Linked DNA regions of Bombyx mori. The protein of the gene in region 1 interacts with the protein of each later gene in a biochemical or structural test. Links are inferred from orthologs where the notes say so. Each region holds a gene or a part of one and is shown on either strand. Other genes may lie near its edges.

The links. The genes of interacting proteins can lie anywhere in the genome.
Region 2: the proteins of ring box protein (region 1) and ubiquitin-conjugating enzyme E2 G2 form a complex in vitro, tested with the Homo sapiens proteins (3 studies listed by BioGRID). The link is inferred for Bombyx mori from reciprocal best matches to the Homo sapiens genes RBX1 and UBE2G2.
Region 3: the proteins of ring box protein (region 1) and ubiquitin conjugating enzyme form a complex in vitro, tested with the Homo sapiens proteins (8 studies listed by BioGRID). The link is inferred for Bombyx mori from reciprocal best matches to the Homo sapiens genes RBX1 and UBE2G1.

The regions. Positions count from the first base shown.
Region 1 is NC_085119.1:7,171,569-7,176,224, forward strand, and holds ring box protein, read right to left. Parts: upstream 2,505-4,656; 5' UTR 2,446-2,504; coding exon 2,353-2,445; intron 2,261-2,352; coding exon 2,233-2,260; intron 2,168-2,232; coding exon 2,046-2,167; intron 1,969-2,045; coding exon 1,883-1,968; intron 1,722-1,882; coding exon 1,709-1,721; 3' UTR 1,375-1,708; downstream 1-1,374. Other genes in the region: histone-lysine N-methyltransferase KMT5B, read left to right, coding at 1-172. UniProt on the Homo sapiens protein: E3 ubiquitin ligase component of multiple cullin-RING-based E3 ubiquitin-protein ligase (CRLs) complexes which mediate the ubiquitination and subsequent proteasomal degradation of target proteins, including proteins involved in cell cycle progression, signal transduction, transcription and transcription-coupled nucleotide excision repair.
Region 2 is NC_085107.1:15,234,216-15,239,996, reverse strand, and holds the start of ubiquitin-conjugating enzyme E2 G2, read right to left. Parts: upstream 3,595-5,781; 5' UTR 3,203-3,594; coding exon 3,157-3,202; intron 3,087-3,156; coding exon 3,005-3,086; intron 2,840-3,004; coding exon 2,721-2,839; intron 1-2,720. UniProt on the Homo sapiens protein: Accepts ubiquitin from the E1 complex and catalyzes its covalent attachment to other proteins. In vitro catalyzes 'Lys-48'-linked polyubiquitination. Involved in endoplasmic reticulum-associated degradation (ERAD).
Region 3 is NC_085122.1:9,585,496-9,591,157, reverse strand, and holds the start of ubiquitin conjugating enzyme, read right to left. Parts: upstream 3,595-5,662; 5' UTR 3,507-3,594; coding exon 3,461-3,506; intron 3,082-3,460; coding exon 2,979-3,081; intron 2,645-2,978; coding exon 2,547-2,644; intron 1,866-2,546; coding exon 1,687-1,865; intron 267-1,686; coding exon of another isoform or gene 186-266; exon of another isoform or gene 1-185. Other genes in the region: myb-binding protein 1A, read right to left, coding at 4,388-5,662. UniProt on the Homo sapiens protein: Accepts ubiquitin from the E1 complex and catalyzes its covalent attachment to other proteins. In vitro catalyzes 'Lys-48'-, as well as 'Lys-63'-linked polyubiquitination. May be involved in degradation of muscle-specific proteins.

The sequences.
Region 1 (4,656 bases):
AGAAGGTGTCGATCCCGAAACTGCTAGACGCTTGAAGAAACGACGTCGATCCAAGGAACGACATCGAAAACATAGTCCTGTCCGTCCTCTGCCTCCAATGAAACGCCTAAGATTAATTTTTGGCAACGAAAGTCGCACTATCGATTTGCCTACAGCTTTATCAGCAGACTGACAGCCGCAACTACCTTATTGTTGTTTCCACCGTTATTTTCAATAATTAGTATAATTATCACTGACTAGAATTATTTTACCTAGTATTTATTTTGTGATGTAAAATTTGGAAATTTGAGTATTGTGTGATAGGTTTTGGATTTTATTTGATGATTCCAATATTTATTAAATCCAATAGTGAAATAATGTCATTATTATTTAATTAGCACAATTATTTTTCCCGTTTTCATTAAAGAACAAAAATTACAATTAAATCGTAGTAATAAATGAATTATAGTGTATTAATAGTATCATGTAAATAATTGTAAAAAAAGTGTTCTTTGTAATGGTAATTTTAATTAACTTAATTATGATAACTCACAGGATCTTAATTAGTTAGCATATTGTACTTATTGAGAAATTATTAATCAATTGTTATCCACATTGCAAAAGATAAAAGACAAAAGTTGATTACTTAATATGTAAAAACTTGTCTGTGGAAAGCAAAACTAGTACTGACATATTTGAACTAGGTATCATGGATTAATTTTGTAATGAGCATTGTTGTTGAGTGCTGACTTCAAGTAAAGTTGTTGTTTATTCCTTTATTTATCAATTACAATTATTTAGTGTTACAAACTATTGAATAAATTGTTTCGTAACAGTTGAATCTAATCCCAAAATAATGATCCAAATACATGCCAGCGTCCAGGACTAGAATGAATCAAGAGAAGCCAAAGTGTAATGTGAACTGAACCTTGAAATTTGCTTGCAAATTTGTGGTATTGATTGTTGGTTGTTTGTAAATTTCTTGTTTATCTCCAAAATTGAGTAAGCATTTTGTACTTTGACTAATACTTCTCTTGATTCTAAGCATTTTTTAAAATATCTGCCAGTGACTTATATGAAAAATAATATTTGTTTCTTTACTATTCATTATTCATATGAAGTATTTTGTGAAATATTTACAAATGAAATGGGGTTTGGATACCAATATTACAACAGACTGTTAAATGTGGTTCACAATATTTTAGAACATTGAAACTTTCATTTGGTATATCATAATGAGCCTAGTTTTATGTTACTAAGGTACAGTATAGTAATAATATTTTGCTAGTTATGGCTACTAGCTTTTGTGATATTCCCTGGGAATGGGTATAAAAATCAGAAAAGTTCCACAATGTTAACAAATTAGTGACTGTAAAATAATAATTAAATAAATATCACAATAAAATGCCTCTGAAAATTCTTTTTATACTTTATTGAGTAATTTATGTAATTTTTATTTACCTTGTAATTTATAACGTGCTTGCAAGAATATCTTGGAGTGACTTGCTTCCATTAAGTAAAATTTTTATTTATAATCATAGGAGTTTACTATTTTTATGCCAGATTATTATGAACAACAGATTTTCAACGAATTTTCAATTAAAATTCACATACAGAATTTTGTAAGAGTTATTTTATTATTACAAACTTAATAGATATTGACATGTTAATTCCCTATGTTCAGAAGATGTCAAACTCCTGTGCAGGATGCAGCTCTTCTAAATGACATTTAATGACCATACCTGTAAAAATATAAATATATTATTAATAGAATATATCTTGTCTATATTAAATGTGAACAAGTTTTGATACCTTATCATTGATTTATTTACCACTCAACCAATTTCAATATTAAAGTATTATACGGAATATATGGTAATATATCTTTATAAAATGTACTTGCTTTTGGAACTCCCATTCTCTATTGTCTAGTGGACAAACTTGTCGAGTCTTCAACCAACGGGAAATACAGTGGAAATGGAATGCATGCTGTAACAAAAACAAGCAATTAAATAAATTAGTTTTGAGTCAATAATGATTGTGTTTTCCAAAATTGGTACTCATACATTACAAACACCCCAAGCAACTGTGCATTCTTCACTAGTGGCTGAGGCTTGATTTGCTTGGCATTCGATACACAGATCCATTATGTGATTTCGGCAAATAGCACAGTTGTCGACAACAATATCTGGAAAGCAAAATCATGTTCAGAACGATGTAGAGGTTACGAAACTTTATTATCAAGAAACCTACCCCAAGCCCAGAGTGCTACTGCATTCCACTGTAACAAAATTGTTTACATTAAAACTAGAAACAACAAAGAAATTTTCAATATTAAGAGCTCAACAATGAGTTTGCAAAATGGCACCTCACCTTTTTTACTTCGAATCTTTTTTTATCTCCTTTGCCACTACTAGACGAAGCCATTTCAACTTCTTCTTCATCAACATCCATCACAGAAGCCATTTTCAAATTAAACTACCCCGTTTTATTAAAAAATAACCAAGAGTTGTTAGGTTGTGTATTATGTTTTTGACAGCTGAATCGAAATTTTAAAAACTTCATGTTGATTTGTTTTTTGACGTTTTTGACATTATTAGTGTTACAAGTACCGAAAATCGGCTTTTTATTTTGAAGATTATGGCCTGGTATCTAGACCTTTAGGCCAAAAATCGGCTTGTCAGATTAACAATGTTGCCAAGTTGTTAAATAAACTTTCCCGAAAAATCGTTTGTAATTAGAGGAATTAACATATTTCACTAACACCCGACTTTTCTATATAGTGCATCCAGATATGAATGTGTTCACCTCATTGTGTTTCAAAGTGTTATTTATTATACTGTATTTTTAAATCTTATCTATCTAAATCTTATTAATTATACGGTATTTTAATAAAATAAAAAATATTACAAAAACTATTTAAAAAAAACACTACATAAAACGATTATTGTCGCCGATGGCGGTGTCTACGACACAAGCTGTTAGGTCTCCAGAGTGAGAAACTTCCTCACAATATGCGCCGTATCAAGAATGACTGATTTTTGTACCAGACCCCAACCCAGCTGGATAACGAAAATGTTCACTATCAAACTTTGTACTGAAACTACTGGAACAATGATGGTTGAATCAACATGCCACATGGTGATAGTCTCGTGAATGAGGCCTAAATATTTTATTAATTTGTCCTTTCCTGTCTTTACTAGGTTCTCGTCATGAGGATGGTGATATCAACCAAAATTGCTCGATGTGCAGACCAATAACAATAACATGCTTATTGGCAACAATAGACCTATCCATGATAATAGATCGATTCCAGTAGAGCGTTACATGACCATTTTTAAGAATTTGCTGCTGAGGTTGGTATTAGTAATAAGGTACAGCAGAATCAACTAAGCTATATTTCAGAGCAAGCTGTTGATGGATAATCCCAGTCACTTGATTATGTCTATATCTTATTGATAGTGCTCTCACCACGATTGTTTATTTTAGTGAATTTCGCCTTTTTGTAAAGCGCCATGATCACGGTATATAAACCATTAATCACAGTAATTTTTTAATTTTTTTATTTCTCTCAATAAAAGTTGCAATGGTTTTGATGCATGTCTCCAAGCGCCGTGCTAATTTTTTAATGCCTTTCTTGAAGAAACCACGTGCATTGGAGCTAACAAACTCTTCAAAGACATTTTGTACTGCCTCTCGGGTATTGTATTTTTTCCTTGCAAAAAGAATTGTGCAACTTTGGAAAAAGTAGAAAGCTGTTGGCGCAGGTTCTGGTGAGTGGTGGATAACGTAAAACATCTAACCCTAGCGCCTGTAGTGTAGAGTCTGTAGGTTGTGCCATATGGGATCGAGCGTTGCCGTGTCGGAGCAGCGGGTACGAGTGATTAACCAAGGCTAGCCGGAGATTCGGAAATCTCCTCCATCATTGTTTCCAGTTCTTCACAGTTCACATAGTGAGTGGTAAAAAGCTGTTGAACATGACTTTTTTGAGTTACGTTTTAGTTTGGGTTATATCCTAAGTGCCAAACCAAGGTCTTACCAATATGATGATTGTTTACGGTTATTAAAGTGAATCCATTTTTTGTAGCATGTGACAGTGCGGCTTAAAATCCCTTTGTTTCTGTGTCTGGTAACCAACGCAAGGAATATTTTAAAGCCTTAATCGTTCTGGCGATCGTTGAGTTCGTGCGGCACGCACTTATCTAGTTTTTTTTTTTACCTTGACAATTTAACGTTGAAAGCTGCTGCTGACTCAGCAATAGATTGAGTAATCGTCAGCTTCCACACCGCCTTTAATTCGTCGCTGTTGACTTTAGTTTTCGACTTTAACTTTATTTTTCTGATTAAAATTACCGTTTCGGATGCCATTAAACCAATAAAGAATCGTGCGTTTGTTTGTAGTGTTCATGCAGATGCTAATAAAGTCTTCCAGGCTGAGCCCTGTCATCTTGCATGCACGTTCGGTGAAGCTAGCTAGAGTATAGCCCCTTGAGGTTATTACCAATTGGTAGGCAAAAAAAAATTGTGTTCACTCCGTACACGTAGTTAATGTTTTGAGCCGTTTGTGGCCATTATGAGGGCCAGTTGACCGCTCAGCATCTGTTTCACAAAATTCATTTTAGGCTTAATTGCTTAGATGCTTTTTTATTTATTGCTTAATTGCTTTTTTTAGTTGCT
Region 2 (5,781 bases), on another chromosome or scaffold:
AATTAAATACAAGGTTGTTTATAGGTTATCAAATACATATTATTTTAATTTAATAGTTTTATTTTTGTTATTGAAACATAGTTGCAATATTGCAATTTTATTAATTGATAACATGTGACCTCCTTAATAAAAATAAACAATGTTATCAATATATTTATGCATATAATGATGAAATGACTTTTAAATAATAATTTTAAAGCTGTTTTTTTAAACATCTAATTATATTCTTTATAAATATTTGAATAAGTATGTACATAGGTAGTATTTATAATTTTCTTGGACATGTTATTCCATACCATGAGTTCTAGAGAAGTTAGTATTAAAATTAGCTTTACTTTCAATTCTTGATACAGAAACACCATTTTAGACCGTATATTACTGAGCATTAAAAAACAATAAAAAAAGTGTACAGGTATGTCTGCCTCAAACTACTTGATAGAAACTAGAACAGTAACAAAATCTTGGGATGATTTTGGTGCTTTGAGAAATATATTCTGGATAAATTTTCTGTTCAATTTAAAATGTCAATCCTTCAACCAACTTATCTTCACTGGTCATAATTTATAGTCACTTGCCTAATATACTTTCACTAGAATGCAAGTCACTTAAAGAATCATGGAGTGTGCTATGCTTATAAAATCAATTTAAGACCACATTATAGTTGTGACAATTCAGATACTGAAATTTTGAGATTAGCGAGTCCAGATAGCAAAAACCTTGTCAAACTTGTCTCAGAGGATGTTACAGAGGGCAGGTCATTCATACTATGCAGAAGACCTTACATTGCAGAGGAATAAATAAATATATAACTGGGAATATATCACGAACAGTCATCTGGCCCAAAATTAGGATTCCCCATGGTATGGGTACCAGAAATTGACATAAATACTTAGGTACATTTAAATATATACATATATAGATAATAACCACCCAGAAAAAGAACAAACAAACCTCTCCATCACACGAATGTTTGCCCGATGTGGGAATCAAACCCACAACCCTTGGTGCAACAGTAAGGACTGCTAACTACCGCACCAGTGAGTCAAAGTCAAATTTGATCAGTTATTATTATATGAATTACTTATATTCTGGATTATGGAATACTTTATTAGTCATTTTAATAATGTACGCAAGCATTACAAATGTCCAAATATTTCTTTATTCTTTGAGCAAGGTATAACCTATTATAACAAAAAACCCAAAGGCTTTTTTTTGCCTTTATACTTTAGAGGTTTTAAAATTAAAAATACTTTAATAGGGATGATTTTACAGCCTGTAAAGAAAATGTGAATGGTAAAACCAAGTAGTGTTGAATTTTATTATATTTACATATTCATATAATAATATGTAATTTTTTTCTGGCAAGGAACAGAATGCATAGAAAGCCAACCACTTAACTTAACACTTCTTTTCAGATGTGATAGTAAATTTTGGATCAGGCTCATAATATTAGTCTTAACCATTTAAAGGCATCAGAGAATGCCTACTTAAAATAATTTTGAGTTAAGGCTGTATGGCCTAGCAAATTACTATTCATAATCACTACTTGTTTCTTTAGTTACTACAAGTTGTAGACTTAATTAAGACTATTTATTTCTGTTTAATCTTGTGTTTGTGTTTACAGATGACCAAGGTGTTATTTGTTGATTTTGAATATTATAGTAACAACTATTTTATCTATAAAAAATATTTCTAGACTTTTAGATTTGACTTCACACAAAATGAACTACAGTCAAAACCGTTTACGGCGACATTGTTTAGAACAACATGCTGGTTATAACAACCTAGAACAAAGGTCCCCGCTGAATGCCATATGACCGCCTTATTAAAAACATTGCTTTATACAACATTGCTTATAACGACATACCTCATAAAACGACCACATTTAACTAATATTTCGGAGAATTAGATCTGTTAGAACGACCGGCTAAGCTGTATTGTAAACAATTTGAATAGGTATCCACATTTGTCTTCAATGGCTATTAAAATCAGGAAAGAAAACAATAGGATTTAGTTTAGTGTAGGGTCTTTTCTAATTCTTAGAAACAAAACACGTGCATGCAGTAGGTCAAAAACCGCTTCTTCATATCTCTACAGTTAGTTTATTACTTATCTATACACAAAACGCACCAAAACTTTGTGGAGTTATTCGTGAAACTTTCAAAATGTCGCAAAGAAAAAGAAAACAAATTAATATTGAAGAAAAATCGCGTATTTTGTAAATATATTTTTCCAATAATTCCCTATCGATTTGTTTGTACTTGCACGATACACATTAAACATTACCGGTTGTTACGACTATCGGTTTTTACGACTGAATATGAGCAGTCCCTTCGATGTCGTTATAACAGATTTTGACTGTAATAGTATTTCCAGATTTGGCAGTTTGTTTGACTTAGGTTTTCATCTTAACGCTAAAAGGATCCCAGGAGTTAGATAAGCACCAAATATCATAACCACAATATTCCAATATTGATAAGTAACACCATAGTCGTCTTAGACCACAAAAACTGTAAAATATTTGAAATATCAGAAACAAATGACAATAAAAAATGTGAAATTCAACTGTAAAACTAGTCATAATAACTTCATTATTGTTTTTATATTCCAATACCTAAGGTATGTAATATAAATTATCTAAATATTAATCGTTATCTAAATATTAATCGTTATTAAAATATTAATCTAAATATTCATTGACATCTCTTTGCATACTTAACTGTTCGGATGAAACATTTCACACAAAAATTGCATCTTTGGAGGACTCAATGGATAATCAGGTGGGAAGACTAATTTTGCTGGAAAAATGCCACCTTCAAAACACGTGCCTTCAGGACCTCTGTAATAAATAATAAATAAAGCAGCATTTTTTTTCAAAGAAAATTAAATTGTAAAAACACCAGTATATACATTTGTTAGGTAATTTAGACTTAAATTATACCAACGGAAAGATATCAGAGCTGAAATATAAAGTATACTACTGAAAATATGTTTATTTACTTACGTTATGAAGGCTTCCCATTCGAAGAAGTTATCTTCATTTATAGGCCCAGCTATAATACCTTCCGGCGGATTTACTGTTAATTCTGAAATTGTAAAGCTATTAGAATTACGTACATTTACATGAATGCAAAAAAAATATTACTTTTTACATACGCTTATATTCTGCCATCAACCTCCGCAATGCAGAACCAGCCATCATTTGGTCCGTAATTTTGAATGACAAAATGGTACGTTGGGGCCAAAAATTTACTCAGTGGCGTTCGAGAGCACACTGAATAACCAATATACTGCACGGAATGATCTCAGTTTGCGAGAATAAAGTTAACAGTTAATGTAATCCAATGCAGTTAATGAGGACGACAGAGAACGCTTTAATGCCCAGTGAAATTATTCAAAGTACTATTTATACTTGTCTTATCGTTCTTTTTTTTTCTGGGATTAAACTGGGGTTTTTATTTGATGAATTGTTAACGTATTTCAATGGAAACTTAATCTGGTTAAAAATACGAAGTCAAAGTATTGTACCCTGTTTTTGACTTCCCTCTGATTTGTCTGACTCTGTCATCAGAATTCAGATTTTATCGTTGGAATATTCTAATATACCGGCAAAGGAAACAATCACAAACAACCTAGCTGTTTGCAACTGAAGGATGATGCCATGTTTATTAGATAAAACCATTAGACGTAATTGATGAAATAATTTCCCTAAAAAGGGACAAAGTGTTAGAATTTATTAATACTTCAGTTAACTGCTTGGAAAAACCTGATAAGGCACATCAATTCATTGTGCCCTCTTTCAATTTTCATAAAAATTTGTATAAGATTAATAAAAGTTGAAGAAAATATAAATTCGACGTTAGCTACAATGATTTAAAAAGAATCCGATTTCTATACTGAAATGAGAAGAAGATACTTGAATCGGATACACTTTTATACTACTCGGTAAGAAATAATATATTATTCAAATATTTGTATTTGTAAACAAAGTCCTAAAGATTGTCATCGTGACTTTTTATTCATCAACGATCTTTTATTTTTATGTTCATTGGGTGACGGTAAAAATTAAAAAATAACGATATCGTCCTCAGTATTATCAACCTACAACAACTGTTCTTAAGGAAATTGCTATCGAAAATAGAGATAAGTAGGTTCTGTTTTATAATATTACATATTACCATTGGTTTCATAAATAGGTGCTTGAGGTCGATACTCTCCATATTCTGGCTAGTCACTATTTTCACTATTTTTAATAAAGACCTCTGGACTAAAAATGTCAAAAAACCCCCATAGCGCAAGACATTGCCCACTGGAAATGGCTACGTGCATAGATAGGATACGCTCTACAGCGCAGCGGAGTCAACGCAGCATCAATCGTGTTTGAGTGGCAACCCGTGGCAGGAGAAAACCTGGTCGCCTAAGTATACTTATTGACGCACCGTAGAGAACGAGGACTGCCGGTATGACCTTGAGTGATATCAAGGAGCAAGCGCAAGACAGGGTCAAGTGGAGACAGCTTGTGATGGCCCTTTGTACCAGCAGGGTACCCTAGAACTATAACAACAACAGTGTTGGTGACTTCTAAGACCATCACTTTAACTTAATGAAAATTATTACGCAAAAACATTACCAATGTCATTTGCGTTATATATGTACATTCAATGTAAGACAATAAAAATCTCACGTTTTTGGATTGCTTCGCGACGCCATCATGTGCATATTTATAAAGGCAATTAATTAAGAGCTTAATATCTTTATTTAGTCTATGGTTGTCTTCGCCTTAGATTGTTACTTCAGGAAAATCAAATTTATTTACATTGTGTACCGTAAAATGGGGCGATTCGGGACAAATTCCAACTTTATGAGCAATTTTAAGGTAGTTGTTGATGTATATAATGCTATATCAGGATCAAAATGATTGAGTCTTGGGGGCATCTTTGTTGTCTAATTTAAAATTATGCAACTAGCATTCCAGTTTAAGCAAAAAATGCAAAAATAGGTGTAATCCCTATTTACCCGAAAATTGCGGTTAATTGGGACGAAATGAGAAATTTGCTAGGGTTGGCACTACTTTTATTTTTATATATAGTTTTAATTTATTTATTTATTTAGTTGCACCAACAAAGTGATCATCAATAAAAAAAATTGAAAAACTGACAAAAGTACATGGCAGACATCACCTCAATTATAGGTGCAATCGACAGTGCTGATATTTCTATCTGGGTTAAGAGATTAGGTGTGTCGGTTATTCCATGGATTAATCAGATGAATACCCCCACTCTGAACAAATATTAAATATTTTATTAAGTGTTACTTAGACATTTTTGTCCACCTTGAGATTTTATTGATCTTGTTACATGTCTCTGCAAAATCGACTTACTTATATTAAATTGCTTATCTATTTCAACTAAAGACTTATTCCCAATTTCGCTTCGAATAAACCAGATTTTTACCAACAAATTTAAAAAATATTGTTATAACTACATAGACAACCCTACAAACCTGTACCTATTTATACTTAGGTCGTTTCCATTTCACGTATTGTCATCCCAATTGACCCCTTTTTCGTTGTTATTTGTACCTAAGACGTCCCCAATATCCCTAAAAACAACAGATTTTTACATGTATTTTTATTTAATCAAATACATTAAAACCAATAACAACTGAGACTTACCTTTAATATATATGCTGGTTCAAACACTAAATAACGTTTATAAATCATAGTCGTCTTCTATTATTATCAAATAAATAAAAGAGAGCAAAGTTTCTAGCACTAAAATA
Region 3 (5,662 bases), on another chromosome or scaffold:
CTGCAAAAATGAAACAGAATAAGCAAACACATCAGCTGTGGACGTGTGCGGATTTGGTGTAAGGGGATGCGTACGGCGATGCCAAATGTATAACGTTTTTCAGTGTTTGTAGTAAAATGTTTGCCGGTGTCACAATGGCCCTTTTTCAGCAATATATATATTCTTTTCTAAATATCCTTTTGCTCCTAGAAGCAATCTTCTTGACTTTTCCTAACACATCTGGCAACTTTCTTTTTGAATTCCGAATATCGTTCTCTCCATTCTTTCTGTGGAATCAAACAATGGTTAGGTGATTAGTTCTACACAAATACATCTACATGCACAAACTAAGTGGAGGTAATTACGTCTGTAGCTTACAATACAGTATTACAACACAATTATAGAAATGATGATGAATGAGGTTTTTTAATAATATATAAAGTATATTAGATAACATAAAAATGTGATGTTTACATATGAAAGACTTATTATTTCTTTGAAAAGATGAACCAAAATACTTAATTTATACTTCAATACTTCAAAACAAAATTTATCAATTATAACCTTCTCAATTGAGCAAATATTAAAATAAATTTTTCAAATTTTCTTTCATTATTCTACTTCTGTGTTCAAAAATCATTATATATTGTGAGTTGAAACCTTACACTTGTCATTGGTTCTGCAGAGGTGTGGCATAGTCATAACTGTACAATGGGTGGGGTGTGGACAGTTTTGATAAATCAGTATATTTGTAATGTTCCTTATAATCACAACAAAAAGCATAGTGTCACTGTTTAAAAATAACATTCAAATTCAATGTGCGTAAAGGTATGTACGCCCACATATTAAATGTTCAGATTCTATATTTATAGAACAGTTTCTATTCTCTATCAGTTTGAATAATTGTACTAAGATTGAATTTGAATTTTGCCTGGCTTATATCTTGCTTATGCATAATTTGTTTCTGAGCATTGCTAGGTTAACACCAGATGGGCTGTGAGTCGTCTACCCATCTAAGCAATAAAAAAAAAGGTTTGTACAAGAGAGTTAGTTAAATCAACTATCTACATAATACAAATTATTCCTACAGAAGCATTTTATATTTTATAGATAAAAGTACAACTTTGTATTGATAAATATTTTATTTCTTTGTTAGGGAAATCCAAGAGTTAAAAAAATATACATATCCAAAATTTTAAGGTATACTTCAGAAAAATAATGATCGAGAATAGTAAAGATATCTAGTTAGGGAAGATTATATTATGCCTCTCTTAGTACAAAAGTAGTGTCTTTGTGTGTGATGTGTTTAAATAATATGTTAGTGATCGCTACCTGCTTAATTCCCTAATGATATACAAATGTGTGTCTGAAAGTTTAAAATGATATTAATTTTTAAATATTAATGAATTAAATTTCATTCGTGAATTCATTCATTAATGAATTAAATTATTAAATTCAATTAAAGAAAGCGAACTGAAATATCAGTTTTAATTTTGGACATTACAACACAAACAACAGTTTGCCTATCAACTATTTGGTATATTAGCATCATGTTCTGCCTGCTCTAAGCTATATAAATTGCTACAAATGCATTTAATAGGTTAAGTAATATATAATATAATATTCTATAACAAAAACATTTACAACTACAATGAAATTATTGAATTAAAATGGAAACATTTTACGTGCAAAAAAAAAACCACTTACTGCAGCATCAACATTAGCGGGACTCTCATCATTTGGATCAGCGAGCATTGAAATGACACTGATCAGTATAGTCTCAACTGTGTGCACAGGTAACCATCGTTCTGAAGCTTTTTCATAACCCCATTTGTCATCACCTGGCTCGTGAAGTATTGATATGCAGACATCACCATTTTTATCAACTGAAAGTCATATTTTCATTACATTAATTACATAAATAATTCGAGTGTAATCCACATTTGTAGGGACTCCTTAAACCTGCACCATAAATTCCTCTCTAAAATATAATAGAAGGCACCCACATAGTAAATCCATGGTACTAAGAAGTTCACCTTTGCTTTTTTATTAAACTCTTATTTATTTATTGGATATATGGAGTCAATTGTGTAATGGTCCACCTGGTGTTATAGTTACCAGAGTGAAGATCCCATTTTGTAAATGTCATTATCCAGTTTTAGACATCAAGTCAGTCTCAATTGTATTGAATGACACTGCTTTGAAACAGAAATAGTCAGGACAGTACAGACTCGTTTGGATGAACAATACGTTCAATAATTATAAATACTGTAGTTTTCATATTTATTTTCTATACAATATTTATTAGCTGTAATCATAATGAATTTGTACCAATCAAATTACCCTTAGATTTTAATGAGTGAAGCACTTTACAGTAATGCTATATTTCTCTAATTCAGTGTATCAAAACAAAACAAAAAATACTTAGACATCTAATTTATGATAAGCACTCGCAAAACAAACTTAATGGGTTTGTTTAGCTTTAAGTCAATATAAAAGTAATCTAAACTTAAAATGTTAAAAATACTCTACTATTATTAACTAAAAAAAATTATCATCATACTCACTATTTGGATGCCATATTTCAGTCACAAATTTCATCCGGGGTGGTCTCAAAGGATATTCCTTGGGAAAATTTAAATGTGCTTTAAAGAAACCTCCCTCGCTGAAAATTATTTTTATTAAGAATAAACAACATGTCTCATAATTTAATACTTTTCTTTATTAAATAGATGGTTAAAAAACTTGCAGCCTGTATGGTGGTTACAGGAGTCTTTAGACATCACAATGTGAATGTTGCCACCTGCCTTGAACCATCAGAACTGAATAACTTGAAGCTTCTTTCAAAAAATATGCAGGATGATATACATCTACACATCTTAAAGGCTATACACCATACCACCAGCATTTTTATAAACATTACAATATGCAAACAATTAATAATAGTGATTACTGAGAGATATAGCTTTGAACTATATATAACTTGGGTATTTACTCACTATAGTGTGTCTGGGGGACCAATAATGAGGACTTCCCATTTGTATATATCATTGTCATCTATTAAGCCAGCAGAAAAGCCTTCTACTGGGTTTTTGTTCAGTTCTGAAATAAAAAAAAGATTTAAAAGACACTCATTTTACAAACGACAATGCACAGATCGGAAGATTATGGACATTTAACCGCATTGTTCGCCAGTAATGTGAACCTTTGCCAAATCCAAATCGTAAATACACTCGATCTACAGTTTGACTTTGGCAAAGTGTACCTGTCATCGCAACGGATATTGATTTTATTTGGCAGGTTTATTCCTCATTAATTAACCTAACTCCATTAGACCTGAAATATAATCTATAAATGCGTTAAATACTACAATTAATAGTTACCAAATTTGACTCGATAAGGTCAACGAATTTCGTTCAGAACTTGACTAGCGCGGTGACTGGCATATTATACATGAGTTTTATGTTAAATAAGAACTTACCAGCTAATTGCTTTTTTAATAAAAGCGAAGACTGTGGCTCTGACATTAATTACAATTGTGAAATTTACCCTGAAGACACGAAACAAATGATTTTTCGACAAAAGATGGCTGGCAGAGTTTTGAGCAGGTTGTGAAACATATGAGTTACTACTTACTTCCGGTTGATTTTGTGTTGCCATATATTTTCTGTGTCATTCTACTGTCACTGATTAATCTTAATTATATGGTTTGGTTTACAGCTAAAATATAATTTTATTATTCTTTCAATATTGTTTTTTACTATCTAAGTAACGTAGGAAAGCTCTTGAGCTCTGGTAAATGCTTTGTATTATATTGTCATAAGAAGTTAGTGAATTTAAGAAAACATATCGCTTCGTTTGAGCCTTTCTACACGCCAAACTTCATATTGATTACGACAATTCTGTTGATTAGGTTTAAATAATGCGATGAGATTAGTCAACATTTTCTGTAATTTTTAAGGAGGCAAAGAAATGAAGCTATTGTTCAAAACTTAAAAGTATTAGAGTCTAGTCTAGTTACTGAATCCCTTAACTGTCACAAAGTGCATGCCCTTAAAAACTAAGAAATATTTTATCCAAAACAATGGTATTTCATGTGTTCCACACTTCAATCTTCTAATAACTTTATTTGGTCTAGTAACTCAGAGCGGATATTTATAACGCCACCTATTGAGCGTTTCACAGAGTGTAATAACCTTTTTTATAGATGTCGCTATGTACATACTAGCTTTGGTTTTAAATAAATTATGTTTGAATAACTTATATCCAAAGTTAGGTAGTCAAAGCTTGAATGCATATTTTGAGTTAATATTTTACTAAACTAAAGGGAAGAAAGAAAGACGAAATTTTTAAATTATGTAAAATAATTATATTCATTGTGAAAATGATAAATTATACAAAAAATATTTTACAAATCAACTGTTTCAGAATCTCTTCGTTTTTTCTTTCCGTGCGCATCAGCGTGTCCGTTCATGTGTTCTAGTTTTCTTTTGTTTTTTATATTATTCTTTAAATTTTTTTTAGGCTGCTTACTCGCGATTTCACCATTTTTACTATTTTGGTTAATCGCATTAGCTTTCTTATTATTTTCACTCGCTTTTAGTGTACCCTTACAAGAACCTACGATTTCTAACAAAGTATTAAAATCTAAATTACATTTAACATGGCAGCTCTCGTGGAAAATTTTCATGCTGTTTATCAATTTTTTTAGTAATAGGAAGAAATTGTTTTTGACAGCCAATTGCTGTTGCCCCTTCAGTGTTTTTCTTAATGTAATATCAAATTTATTTTCCAAATTATCTAGGCAAGCGAGCGCTTTATCCGTTTCGGGTTTGTTTCTCTTCAAGGCTCGATACAGGCCCGCCAAAAGTTCCAATCCCTCGTTGCGCCGGAACTGTCTAACTTCGGGATTGAACACATTCTCGATTACGATCGGGGCTAACTCATAAATTCCTTCCCATTCCATTTGTAGAACGTTGTGAAACAGAATGATTGGTAACAAGCAACTGCGGTTCTGGAAGTAGTTTTGTGTTGCTTCCTTTAGCAGTTCCATGATGGGAGACGTTTTAAGCTTTTTTGGTGACTTTAAACTACTGCTTTCGATTTTTTGTGAGCAATGTATTATGAACGTCACAAAGTATGTTACGACATCACCTAAAGCTTGATACATAAAGTGGGATCTTTCCCCTTTATCCATTACCGATCTCAGATAGTCGCTGAGTATTTCTGCAGTAACATCATTTGTCGAAGAAAACTTCCTTATTTTCGTCAGATTTTTAATAGTTTTCCTTACGCGGTTTTCGAGCTCACTCAACTGGTTGTCCTGTAAGCAAAATTCGAGGCATCTTGTCAACGGCGCGATCATCGCTAGACAAATATCCATAGATGGGTCCTTCTCCAAATATATATCTATCAAGTCTAAGACGCGTATTCGAAAGTCTGAAAGCGCTTTTTTATCTTTACGGTCCTTTTTTGTTTTCTTTGTTTTACCTTGCTGGTATTGTTTGAATGCTTCCGCGAGAGCTTCGTCTAATTTCTTGCCTTCTTCTTCATCGAGCATATCTGCGTCCACGCTTTCCGTATCAGAGCTTGTGGCGGCTGCTCCTAATGCTTTTTGAACTGCCATCCGTAATTGATCTGGCGTTTTCATTTCCTCCTCATCATTTTCATCGTCTACTTCACT